Linked DNA regions of Mus musculus: all the other regions are reported to be linked to region 3. Evidence: microRNA targets listed by miRTarBase, many of them from high-throughput screens and not tested one by one. Region 3 holds a microRNA gene; each other region holds the end of a gene's coding sequence.

The links. Region 3 holds the annotated microRNA mmu-miR-320-3p (AAAAGCUGGGUUGAGAGGGCGA, at 2,598-2,619, shown strand). A microRNA usually pairs through its seed, bases 2 to 8, with sites in the 3' UTR of a target mRNA and lowers its output. Matches are read on the target gene's strand: a 7mer-m8 pairs with bases 2 to 8, a 7mer-A1 pairs with bases 2 to 7 and ends in A, and an 8mer does both.
Region 1: miRTarBase lists Coro1a as a target of mmu-miR-320-3p. The part of its 3' UTR that is shown has no 7-base or 8-base seed match.
Region 2: the mRNA of Igf2bp3 is a reported target of mmu-miR-320-3p. Seed matches in the 3' UTR shown: 8mer at 517-524.

The regions. Positions count from the first base shown.
Region 1 is chr7:126,696,597-126,700,753 of GRCm38, forward strand. It overlaps Coro1a (coronin, actin binding protein 1A), which reads right to left. Exons shown (of 11, transcript NM_009898.3): 8 at 4,144-4,157; 9 at 3,988-4,045; 10 at 3,661-3,876; 11 at 3,178-3,389. The coding sequence ends at 3,285. Bola2 (bolA-like 2 (E. coli)) reads left to right here. Exons shown (of 3, transcript NM_175103.3): 3 at 1-97. The coding sequence ends at 58. Among named protein-coding and RNA genes, the nearest start is that of Bola2, 2.7 kb to the left of the region's middle.
Region 2 is chr6:49,083,510-49,087,666 of GRCm38, reverse strand. It overlaps Igf2bp3 (insulin-like growth factor 2 mRNA binding protein 3), which reads left to right. Exons shown (of 15, transcript NM_023670.3): 15 at 227-2,449. The coding sequence ends at 325. Malsu1 (mitochondrial assembly of ribosomal large subunit 1) reads right to left here. Exons shown (of 4, transcript NM_029353.1): 4 at 2,950-3,164. The coding sequence ends at 2,977. Among named protein-coding and RNA genes, the nearest start is that of Malsu1, 12 kb to the right of the region's middle.
Region 3 is chr14:70,440,960-70,445,116 of GRCm38, forward strand. Mir320 (microRNA 320) reads left to right here and starts at 2,551; the gene lies at 2,551-2,632. It overlaps Polr3d (polymerase (RNA) III (DNA directed) polypeptide D), which reads right to left and starts at 2,512. Exons shown (of 9, transcript NM_025945.3): 1 at 2,374-2,512; 2 at 1,992-2,161; 3 at 1,393-1,436; 4 at 345-496; 5 at 78-202. The coding sequence starts at 2,156.

The DNA.
Region 1 (4,157 bases), not on the chromosome of region 3:
TGCCTTTGAGCAGAAAACTCTGACCCCAGAGCAGTGGACCCGACAGCGGCGTGAATGAGGGGCCTAGGCCTGAACAGTCATTAAAATTTAAACCTGGCCCAGCTGGTCTCAGTGTGCTGTTTGAAGACCCTGAGGCCAAGTCACGGATGTGGCTTTTCCCTGACTCTCCTCCAGCCATTGTTTCAGCAAATTTGGATGGATTTCTTTCCTGAGCCCTCTAGGTCCCAACTTAAACAATGAAGATTCGGTTCTTAAGTCTGCCAAGGCTTTACTGTCAAACCCTGTGGTCTGTACTGTCACCAAGGTCAGACCTCAAAAAGCAGGGTGTTCCTGCTCTGTCAGCCCTCAGAAACCCTGAGCATTCTCCCAGGTTCCCTCACTCCAGGTTCCTGGAAGTAGCAGAGACAAGATACAGAATTTCTGTCAGTCTCTTCACAGGCGTACACACTCAGGAGGAGGGATGGACACAATGCACGCTGATGTTCAGTTCAGCTCTCCCACAGCTAGTTCCTCTCCACTGTGGATCTTTGCTTTGGTTTTGTCTTTCAGACAGGTCCCCATATGTTTCCCAGGCTGCTTGTAAATTCATGAGCTTAGGGGATCCTTTGGCCTTAGTCTTCCATGCAGCTATGGCTACAGACGTCCAGCACAATGCCCAGTCCTTCCCATATTGTCAAGGCTTGTCTCAGCCACCCAGTTTCCTGTCTCCATCTTCTCTTGATTTCATCACAGAGGTTGGTCAAGCTGGGATCATAGTAGTCAGTGTTCATGTCTTCCCTGTCCCTGGCATCATTTCCTGAACATTTTCAGTTCCTCTGGAGAACTAGTGATTCAGTCTCCTCACAAGGACCCCAAAAGAGCACCCCTTCACTCCCCAGTGATGGCCCTCCTCCAGTTTATAGGCAGAAGGGGCTTGCCCAGGATCACATGCCCTGTCGGGGTGAGACACAAGCTGGCAGGCAGAATTTTCCATTGTCTATACCCAGAAAACTCCATGGTGTGCTGAAGAGAGGAGGGCCGGGGTGGGGTCCTGGGTGTTCTCTGCATTGTATCAATTCAGCCATGGTACACTATAGAACCGCTCTGTCACCTCTGCCCTAGAGTCTCCGACCCTCTAGAACAGTTCTGTGCCATCCCAGCTCTACCCTCTGGAACCGCTCTGTGTGACCCCAGCTCTAGAGTCTCCCACCAATCAGGCACAGCAACTGCTGTCATATTGAGAATATCTTTAAAAGCATGCACTCATATAGGTAGTCGACAGTGCTAGCCTAGCATCCCTGAAGCCCCAGGTTCAGTCCTCATTACCATATAAACCAGGCATTGTGACGCACATGTAGAATAAAAGGTAGAGGCAGAAGTATCAGGTGTTCAGGACCACGGGGATCCGTGTGAAACGGTCACAGTGCACAAAAACAAACACCTTACTCCTATAGATAGGGTTTAAGAGATCTGTTCCTTCCTGTCTTCCTCAGAGGCCAGGTCCTCTGAAACCTACAGGCAATTCTCTGAGGCAGGAGGATGCTGAGAATGAAGTGGGGTTGGGGGGTCTTAGACCATGGTTTCGGAACTGCCAACCACTACCCTGTTCCATGTTAGCTCAGGGTCCGACTGTTTCCTTATTCGTTTGTCTTTATGGGATGTTGTCTGTTTTGTCAAGTTTTTTTTCCCTTAGTTTTTGTTGTTTGTTTGTTTTTTGAGACAGGACTCTCTTTGTAGCCCTGGCTGCCCTAGAACTCAGAGATCTGCCTGCCTCTGCTTCCAGAGTGCTGAGACTAAAGGCTTTGTGGGTGTTGGGATTAGAACTCTGGTCCTCTGGAACGACAGCAAGTTCTCTGAACTGCTGAGCTGCATCTCCAGCCCAAGTTTTGTTTTTACCTGTGTGTATGTGTGAGTGTATTTGCTTGCAGGTATATACATGCCTGTTTATGTGAGTGGAGGCCAGAAGAGGCCGTCAGGTATCTGTCTTCTGTCATTTTTTTTTTTTTTCCTTTTTCTTTTTTGGGTTTCTCGAGACAGGGTTTCTCTGTGTAGCCCTGGCTGTCCTGGAACTCACTCTGTAGGCCAGGCTAGTCTCGAACTCAGAAATCCGCCTGCCTCTGCCTCCCAAGTGCTGAGATTAAAGGCGTGTGCCACCATTGCTCAGCCTTCTGTCATTTTCAACTTATTCCTTTGAAGTAGTCTCTCTCTCTCTCTCTCTCTCTCTCTCTCTCTCTCTCTCTCTCTCTCTCTGAACCCATGTTTGCTTCTTCTTTAGGCTGGAAGCCAACCAGCCCCGAAATCCTGTTTTATCCACATCAGAGCTGGGTTGCAGGTATTTGCAAGGTTTCCCAGCTTGTAATGTGGATGCTGGGATCTGAGTTCTAATCCCTATGACTGCAAGGGAAACACTAAACCACTAAGTCAACCCTCCAACCTCCTGTTTTTGGCTTTATTACAGTTGTTTTTGAAACAGGGTCTCTATTCTAGGCTGGCTTTGAACTTCTGACCCTCCTGCCATCGCCTCCCCAGTGCTGAGATTATAGGTGTGGGCACCACACTTGGTTTATGCAGGGTAAGGAATCAAACCTAGGGCCTGGTGCTGCCAGCCAGGCCACACCCAAGCCCCATCTGGTTTGGTTTGGTTTGAGGCAGTATCTCACTTTATAGCCACTGTCAACTGAGTTTCTGGCTTGAACCCCGCAGCAACCCTCGGTCTCCCAAGTGTTCAGATTACAGACGTGAGTGGCGTCTGCTCTGCAGTCTTGTTATTTTTGTTCTTTGAGTCAGTAGCTCAAGGAGTTATCAGTGTGGTTGTTTGCAGGCTGTGCTGGAGTTGACCAGGAAATGCTAATTTGGGGTCAAGGCTAGAGACATAGCTAGAATGACAGCCTACATAGCATATTAACGGCTTTGGTCCAGCACTATCAAAGAAAACACGAAAAGTTTGGGGGTGACTGTGGACATTTTGGGGGCCCTAAGATAGGGATTTGGATGACTCAGACCTGCTCTGAGGTGGAGCTAGGGAACAGAGAACAGTGTCCAGCTCCATCCATCCCTGCAGGTATCATACCGGGCAAGGCCCTTTCCTCTGCTATAGTGTGAATTTGGAAGTGACCCACAGCCCGAATGGGGGCAGCGCATTCAGAGAACTCTCAAGGGGAAGCCTCGGGGCTCACCAGTTCACCGGAGTCTGAGAGGTACCAGAAAATAAAGCCGTTTTATTATTTTCGTCTTATTCACCATATGGCCTGAGGGTGGGGTGGGAGCAGAGGGGATGGCTGGCCCCAGATGAGGGCTCTGGGGTTCTACTTGGCCTGAACAGTCTCCTCCAGCCTGTCCAGGCGCTCTTGTAGCTTTTGCACTATGGCGTTCAGATTCCTCACGTCCTCCTCCAGCCTTGACACGGTATCCTAGGAGACCCAGCCCTGTATCAGGCCCAGCTTCTCTGTTGCTTCCTCTGACATCTGCTAGCCTTTCCAAGAGCTGCAAGGCTTGGGCCCTTCTTTCCCAGCAGATGCTACCCGGATTACTGCATGCCTATAAGCTTGCAACCTGGTTTCTAAGGCCTCCAGGTCACCCACTCCTTGCCCTTGGCTTGGGCATCTCTAACACTGGACTCTCTCCCCATGAGACATTGAGCACATCCATGCAGGCTTTGCCCCAGCCCCCCGCCCGCCTTACCGAGCTGGGCGTGCCGCTGGGCTCTGGTGTAGCTCTTCTGCGAGCGCTGTCCAGGCCCCTGTTGACCCTCAGCTCCCTGCTCTTTGGGGGCACGTAGCCATCCTTGAGGGAAATGAGGAGGGGGCCAGCATCCCGACCACCCAGCCATTCCTCAGCTGTGAGGGCAGGGTCGGGTCCTGCAGTGGGCGGATACAGGTCCTCCTGGAACAGGTCCGACTGTGGGCAAGGCCAAGGCTGGTCACAAGAGTGTTTATGTTTCTGTCCCACCCTACAAACCCCCGTGGTCATTTCCTGCCCCAGCACCCTGGGAGGAGCATAAGAGCATACCTTTCTAGGCACTGTCATGGCAATGGGCTCACACTTCCGCTCATGAAGCTTATAGAATCTGTGGAAACAGGAAGATGAGCGGCACTCTTCAGCACGGCTGGCTGGGTGCTGAAGATCGGGCTAGGATTAGGGGTCAGTCAATTAGGAGTCAGTCACCTGGCAATCTCACA
Region 2 (4,157 bases), not on the chromosome of region 3:
AAGTGTGCTGTTTCTGCTTTTACCCAGGCTAGCCTTGAACTCCTAGGCTCCAGAGACCCCCACACCTCAGCTTCTGTCCTTATGCACCACTGTGCTTGGCACATCTAGTTTTCCTTTGAGCCAGCACACTGTTAAGTATTGGGCACAAGGACTTCAACTTGATGTTGTTGCAGTAACTTAGTAACTTTGTACTGTGCAGATTCTATGAAGTTCTGTCCTTTTGTAGGTTGCCCAGAGGAAAATTCAGGAAATTCTGACTCAGGTAAAGCAGCACCAGCAGCAGAAAGCTCTGCAGAGTGGACCACCTCAGTCAAGGCGGAAGTAAAGGCTCAGGAGACAGCCACCACAGAGGCAGATGCCAAACCAAAGACAGATTTGCTTAACCAACAGACGGGTGCTGACCCATCCAGAACCACGTGCACGAGTTTTTACCTAGCTGGTTGTTTCCGAGGACCAGGCACTCGATCCTGTCTCTGTGAGAATGTATACTTTATGCTCTCTGAAATATATGACACCCAGCTTTAAAAAAAAAAAAAAAAAAAAAAAAAAAGTGGGGGTAAGGAAAGAGAACTCTGCACTTCCCTTGTGATATCAAAGTATAACAAACGTGCTAATTTTTCTTAATATCCCTCTATAATGCCAGAAATTGGCATAAATGGTACATTCACTAAATTTATCAAATAAATTTAAAACTAGATTGTTCCTAAGTCCAATTGTTGAAATTGGATCAAAGTAGAATTGTCAGAGGAACACAACATTAAGCCATTAGAATAGAAGAGCTGTTGTCTCCTGTTTCTCTAACACTAACATGGATAACCTAAGGGAAGTGCCAGCCGCTGTTGGCAGGGTATTAAACGTGCATTTTTACTCAACTACCTCAGGTATTCAGTAATACAGTTAAAAGCAAAATTATTCCTTTTTTGAAAATTTTATATACTTTATAAAAACTCCAACCGTTTTTTTAAAAAAAATAAAATTTAACAGTTATCAGCTGATAGGCAAGTCATTGAAAAAGTAATTTTACGTCTGGCTGGTGAGAGTAAAGTTGGAAAAATAATTTTGCATTTTTTGAGCCTTTGAAAGTTGGAAAGTCCACTAACTGTTCAAAGATAAGGAGCAGTGCCTATTCTCAAGAGCAGCCATGCCATGTACTCCTTTGTTCCTATCTGGGAAGGTTGTTGACGGTACTGACCAAGCAGGCAGGGGCTGGGACGGCCAGTGTACAGGACAGCTAGGGTAAAGGACAGCTAGTGTACAGGGCTCCAGGAGACTTGGGGATTTGTGTTTAGCTATGTGTGGGAATTTGCAAATGCTTTGTGCTTTGACTGTCACCACGAAAAGGAAGAAATTCATGTCAGTGAAGAAATGCAGAATTTAAACAAAATCAGCTTGAGTTTGTTTTACCAGATGCTCAGCTTGCTAACACACTTGAGATCAGACCATACTCTGAGCAGACATGGAAAGGATTGCTTTGTGAAGACCAGGGGGAGTCAGGTGGTATGACAGGGCCGAAGGGCAACAAAATCTCCATTTCCTTGTGCCTGGCACTGTCTCGAGCCTAAGCTATTTTAAAGATGTTTTAAACAGTGGAAGAATTAAGTCCACCAAAAGTCTTCCATGAAATGTAGCAGAGTTTCTGTCTGCCCTGCATTACCTGCCAGCGAGTCAAGGTAGGGGATCCAGCAAACGGTTTTGGGAATTCAGACTGTGGAAACATCGGACTTCCCTTTGCCCTTCCTCAACTTAGTGGCAAAGCCCTGTATGGATACTTGTAGGTGCGGGTGATCCTCAAGGCCATGCTGCTTTCTGAGTTGTTCTTGTTGCTTTGTTCATAATGTGGTTACAGTCATATTACACTGACCCTGAGGGTATTATGTAACCCTTCAGAAAACCACTTTGCCTCATTGTGTTTCAGGATTAACTTCTACATGCCTTTAAGTTTTTCTGAGTATCAGCATATCATTTAGACATTGTGAAAATGAATTCCTAAACATTTTCATAAAACCGGTTAATTTTGTAGTTTTAGCCAAAAAGTGCCCCCTTTTTACAACTGAATTCATCTAGCATTTTCATATGGTGGATTTAAACTGCTTAAAAAAGAAAATGTGACCGGCTCTCCTGCTTGGGTCTCAGGGGAGATATGCTTAAGGCCAGAGCTCTTCCTCAGTATTTGATTTTTCCAGTGTTTGTTTTTTAAAAAACTGACAGGTGCTACATTTCTATCTGTTGGTTTCAATTCTGCCATATTTCATGTCTAGCCTTTAGAGTGGCCAATCATGTTTTACTTTCATTTAAGCACTGGTAGTCTGGAGTACCTGGTACTGAGTAACTCTATAATTGTGTTTTGTGTTCACCATATACAGATCATTTCTCATCTGTAGTGTGCCCCAAATGCAGCTTCACTTTCCAGGTACCCTGATGCAGAATAAAGTTTTCATCATAAACCACAGCTTCTGTAGTATGTTTTCAGATGAGTGAGTGTTCTTGAGTTATTTTCTATGATAATCTTACAGTAAACAGTAACCTACCAGCACGTTATTTTTTCAGGCCCTGATTCAAGAATGTGAACCTTGGTTGTCCTATTTAACACAAACTAAGATCTACAGATTTACATGACTTTCCATAATGTTCTAAATATAAATATTGTACTTGTGCCACGTATTTATAGAAATGCTATCCTTATACCCTAGCACCCAGCCACTTACTATTGCCCTCAGACATATTTGGAAAAAAACTGGGGAAGGGAGGCAGGCTGATAGTCTAAATAGAGAACTTGAGTCAGTCACGGGGTCAGTGCTACCTGAGGCATCATGCTAGAATTTCAAGAATAAAGATAGGATGCTGAAAAACAGGGACTGAATTACTGGTTCTTGGTCTGTGAGCTACCAGCAAGAGTGTTCACGAGGTAGACAGGAACTTGTAGTGACCAAGCAGATGGCTCAGTCATATCAAAGGGAAGAATGGCATTAACTTTGTTTATTTACATTTGAACTCCACTGGAGTCAGGGATGAAGTGTCATCTTCCAGTCCAAGAATGAAGTCTTCAGGTAACGTCTCAGCTGCTATCTGAGCTAACTGGTCATCAAAAGAACGTAGAGTCCATAGTTTCTCTAATTCATAGGTTTCTCTGGTTTCTGGAAGCATCAAATGGATCACCATACTCCCTATTAGGAACATATAAAAATTACAATGAAGAAAATCCATTGCTTATATTTTTATCCTCACCTTCAACTTTTTAGAAGGGCAAATGGTAGAGCCCTTCCTGCAAAGCGATGCAGTGGCTTTGTCAGAACACCTGCCACTTAGCATGAAAATGAGGTCATCAAGTAGCATGGATCAATGATGGCTGTTAACTTTTTTTTTGTTTTTGTTTTGTTTTGTTTTTTCAGACAGGGTTTCTCTGTATAGCCCTGGCTATCCTGGAACTCAGTTTGTAGACCAGGCTGGCCTCGAACTCAGAAATCCGCCTGCCTCTGCCTCCCAAGTGCTGGGATTAAAGGCATGCGCCACCATGCCCGGCAATGGCGGTTAACTTTAATCCATGGGGATGCACGATGGGTCTGTCAGGTTCCTCTGGTCATACCCTGTGACATCTGTCTCCCAGGTTTCACTTTTCTGTACATCTTGTGAGCAAAGTTTTCAAAGTCAATAGTCCTACCAGAAAGGGCTTGCCTCCAAGACAGCTAAGTCCACAGCAACGCTTTACTGCCCACAGACATCTTTGTTGACTGGAGAGAGGAAAGTGACACTGCTAATCATCAGCATCCTGTTCTGCACTACACTAGATGCTCCCCAAGCACACAGCTTGTGACACGAATGTGACAACGCTCAGAAACCCTGCTTTACAGCCTTGCTGTCTCACAGCACAGCAAAAAAAGTGGGCCTGCTTGCTCCTACTTATGTGCCAGCTAGCCTGTGCTCTACCTTATGGGCTCTGAGGCTCAGAGAGCCAGCAGAGTTTACAGTACTGGTCACTACCATTGGCTGAAGAAGCACTATGTTTTTCCAAAATGGTCTTGTCTTCATGAAACTGGGATGACAACTTGTGAGCTGCTAAGTTTCATGCCAACTGAAAGGAGAAGTCCTCAACTGAGAAAATTGGGCTATAAGGAAGATTGGGCTATAAGGAAGCCAATAGGGCATTTTCTTAATTAGTG
Region 3 (4,157 bases):
ATGTCCCTGGCCTGGCTCCCTCAAAACCCTCTTTAGCAGCTACAAAAGAACCTGTCCCCCAGGCTCCTGGCACCTACGTCATCCTTCTCCAGCATGCGCAGGATCTGCTTGGTCTCTTCGTCTGTTTCTCTCTTCTCTTTTTTGATGTTGATGATATGAGAAGGTCCCATGTCGGACATGTCCACGGTCTTATCCCAGTTCCCTGCGGGAAATCATGCTGTCCACTAGGGTTCAATAAGGAAGACTGCCCACAGCGAGGAGAGCCCAACTTGGAATGGAGACTCCCACGCTCTGCCTTCTCAGGCAGTCTGAACTGCAACCCAGACCAGGTCCCTTCCTGGTACCTTTTTTTTTCATCATTTCTGCCGGACCCTGCTCGAAGATAGAATGGGACTGGATCACTTCCGGGCGGCCACGTCCCCGTCCGTGACCCTCACGCTGGCGGTCCCTGTCCCGTTCACGCTTTTCCTTCTTCATAGTCACTTCTTCTTTTGGCCTGGGAATGAGGACAGACAAAAGGGTCTGCCTCAGGAAATGGAGCCTCCTCGCTTGCCCCTTTCAGCCCGCTGAGCAGAGCTTGTGAGCCAGTAAGTACACTACGAGAATCGGCACCCAACCCTTCGCTATACCTTTGACATCTCCCATAAAGCACGGCCTTTAATTTCCTTCTACTTTACCGTCTTGTCAAAATGTGGGCCTTTTGTTTTGTTTGTTGGTTTTTTAACCCTCTAAAAGTAGAAAGGCTGGAGAGCAGAGGACCTTAAGGCAAAGTTGGAGAGTTCAGCCCCACCTCGGCAGAAACAGAAGGTAGCTGAAACTATAAGAGATGGAGCCTACTGGGTGGTTACCCAGCTCCTAAAGGAGAATAGAAACTCAGCCCTTTCCTCTCCTTAATTTCTTTCTTCCCTTGGGTATTCCGACTGCATTCATTGCCATACCATGAACCCAAAAGCAAGAACCACCTGATTGATCGTGGACTAAAATCTCCAAAACAAAATGTCCCTCTCTGTAAGCCAATTATCTCAGCTATTTATTACAGAAAAAAAACAAAACAAAACAAAAACCAAAAAGACCCTCTAATGCAAAGTGCCCTGGAGCTAAGCGTGGAGGTGTACATCTTAATCCCAGCACTCAGGACACAGGTCTGAGAGGCAAGCACATCTCTGGGAGTTCTAGGCCAGCAACCTACATAAGTGAGTTCCAGGACATGCAAGGCCATGTAGCGAGGCACTGTCTCAAAAAGAAACATGCCCCTATATAACCCAGGATTGAAGGATGAGAACCACTGGTGAATAAGCTAATAGCGTAAGTTAAAATCTCTAGGCCACACAACCTAATTACGTCCCCAAATTCAGAGCTAACCGGGGTGAGTACTGTTCATTCATTACTTACTCTTCTTTGATCTTCCGACTGATGATATTTGGGGTGAAGGTTTTCTGAAAAGTAAAACACAGTACTGTATTTTCGATGTGCTCAACTGACCAACAGTCCTGGGATGGCTTAGAGAGACAGGTAGACTATCACCAGTAGCCCCCAAGGCAAAGCTAAAATGCTTTATCCTGTGTTTGCTATTCCTTTTCAGAGCTACTCGGTACAGTTACATCTACTGTTACACACATAACAGGAGGGGACAAAGAGCAGTTACCGGCATGCCTAAGATTCATCACTTACTAGATTATTAGTTTTCAATACTGACATCCACAGAGTTATGAACACTCGAAATTGCAAGTAAAGCAATTTTGTCTGGCTTTCAAGGGATTTTGTAAGGAGCCCAGAACATAATAAGCACTTCCGGATGTCTTGAATCAACTAGATTCACTGTCTTTTAATTGCCTAGGAGACCCTGTCAGTGTCCTGTACCAGCACCTAGGTTTGCAGGTCTCTCTAAAGGCTGACATCCCACCAGGGGCCCAAGGCAGCACATGAATGAACATCACGAGTCGCCTCCCTACGGCCTGGGTGGGTTTCTATACAAACGCGCTCGCAGGTACCTTCTTGACTCCGCCAAGGGTGAGGTCCCGGGAGCGGATGGAGGGAAGGCGACCGGGCGTAAGCGGGGGTGCGGGCCGCCGGCCGATCAGCCCCCGGCCCCCAGAGAGAAGGGGTCGCGGCCCTCCAGGATTGCTGGGCTCGCCCGCCGCGTTTCCTTCCGACATGGTTCCTAGAAGAAAGTAGGCAACAAAGTGACTCCAAGGGCTGGACGCGAGGACCCTGGGCGGAACCGCACCCACGTGGCCTCCCGCCCCCCGCCCGTGCGTCGCTCTCGCTGCAGCTCAGCTCCTCCCCGTCCCACGTGGCGAGGCTTCCCGGAGCGCCCCACCCCTAGCTTTGGACTCCGTCACCTGCCCTTTCCCTGGGGACTTCGTGACGCACCTGCGTGGAGGCTCTGCGCCGAGTATCACAACCTCACCTCCGACTAGAGCAACCACGGGCCGCGGGTCTCCGGGCAAGGCGGAAGTCTGCGTGGCAAGGACCGGGCGCTGCCATCTTACCCTGGGGCGGAAGTGACATCAAGGGGGCGTGACCTGACCATAGTATTTATCCGACGGTGCCTCGCCGCCCTCCGCCTTCTCTTCCCGGTTCTTCCCGGAGTCGGGAAAAGCTGGGTTGAGAGGGCGAAAAAGGATGTGGGAGGTGGACTGTAAGCTGTGCCGGGGTGTGACTCGTGGGGGCGTGTCTCGGCCCCTGGCAGGGAGTAGAGGTGCGGTCCTCGGGGTCGGAGGTGGAGGGGCTCCAAGGTCGCCTACCTGCTGTATGTGGAGTCCACACTGCGCAGCCTCTGGGAGCAGTGGGGTCGCCGCTCGGGATGGGGCTCCGGACATAGGGAGCTTAGAGCCCTCAGGCCGTGGCTGGCTGCAGCCTCCCTGCGTTGACCTTGGCGTGGTCATTGCACCTTCGGGCTCGACCCTTTGCTCGCGTGCGCCTTCCCTTGCCGGTCCCTGGGGTCTTGGGGTGTCACCCTTAACGCAGTTTGGACAGAGCAGCCAATAGCTCTTCTCATCTACCTGGGCCCATGACTGCTTAGTCAAATCTGGGAAGCCTTTGGAACTGAAGTTTGCTCTTCAACTGGAAGGGTTTTTGTTTTTTGATTTTTGGTTGGGAGGTGTGGGTATTTTTAAGACAACCCTGCTCTGTAACCCTATCTAGTCTGGAACTTAAGTAGACCAGGCTGGCCTCGAATTTGCAGCAGTCCAGTCTCTTCACTCATCCCTCAGTTGTAGGGATTACAGATGTACACCACCAATCCCAGCTGAAAAATTTTTTTATTGTAATGTGTGGTTGCAATCTAATCTGGGGGGGGGGGAGTCATTTAATGTTACACTACAGCGACCCCAATACAAATAAAAAGGTTATGTAATTCTAGGGAAGGAACCTATTTCTGCTGGAATTCCATAGGCTGCTAGCATTAAAATATTTTTGATGTACTGTAATATTGTGCCACACAATAGTGTATTCTTTGTCGGAGACAAATGACCAATGGGAGGATATATATGTGCATATTTATATGTATATATCGTAACTTGTTTCCTTAATGGGGCACTTACTTTAAATAGGTATGTTGTTAGAAATAGCTAGTGTACATTTGATACATCCAACTTTTTTGCTTTCTTGTAGATTATATCCCTAGGAAAGAGTTTCAGAAAATGTACATATTAAAAGTATACTTTGCTGGGCAGTGGTGGCACACGCCTTTAATCCCAGCACTTGGGAGGCAGAGGCAGGTGGATTTCTGAGTTTGAGGCCAGCCTGGTCTACAGAATGAGTTCCAGGACAGCCAGGGCTACACAGAGAAACCCTGTCTCGAAAAACCAAAATAAATAAATAAAATGAAAATAGTAAATAAGTAAACTTCATTTTGATGTCATACATATGCAGTTATTTAAAAAAAAAAAAGGGGGGGGGGGAAATTATGTGACAAGCCAGGCATGTTGGTGCATGCCTGTAAACCCAGTACTTGGGAGGAAAAAGCAGGCAGGTCTCTGAGTTTACACCAGCTTGGACTACAAAGTGAGACACTGATGGTGATGATGATGATAATGATTCAGCAGAGCCCAAATTCTGTTTACTTTGTTTTCCACAATAGTAAGATCTAGCACTTATATCAAAACCAGAATATTGACATTTTTGCAGTCATGGTACAAGACATTTCAGCATGA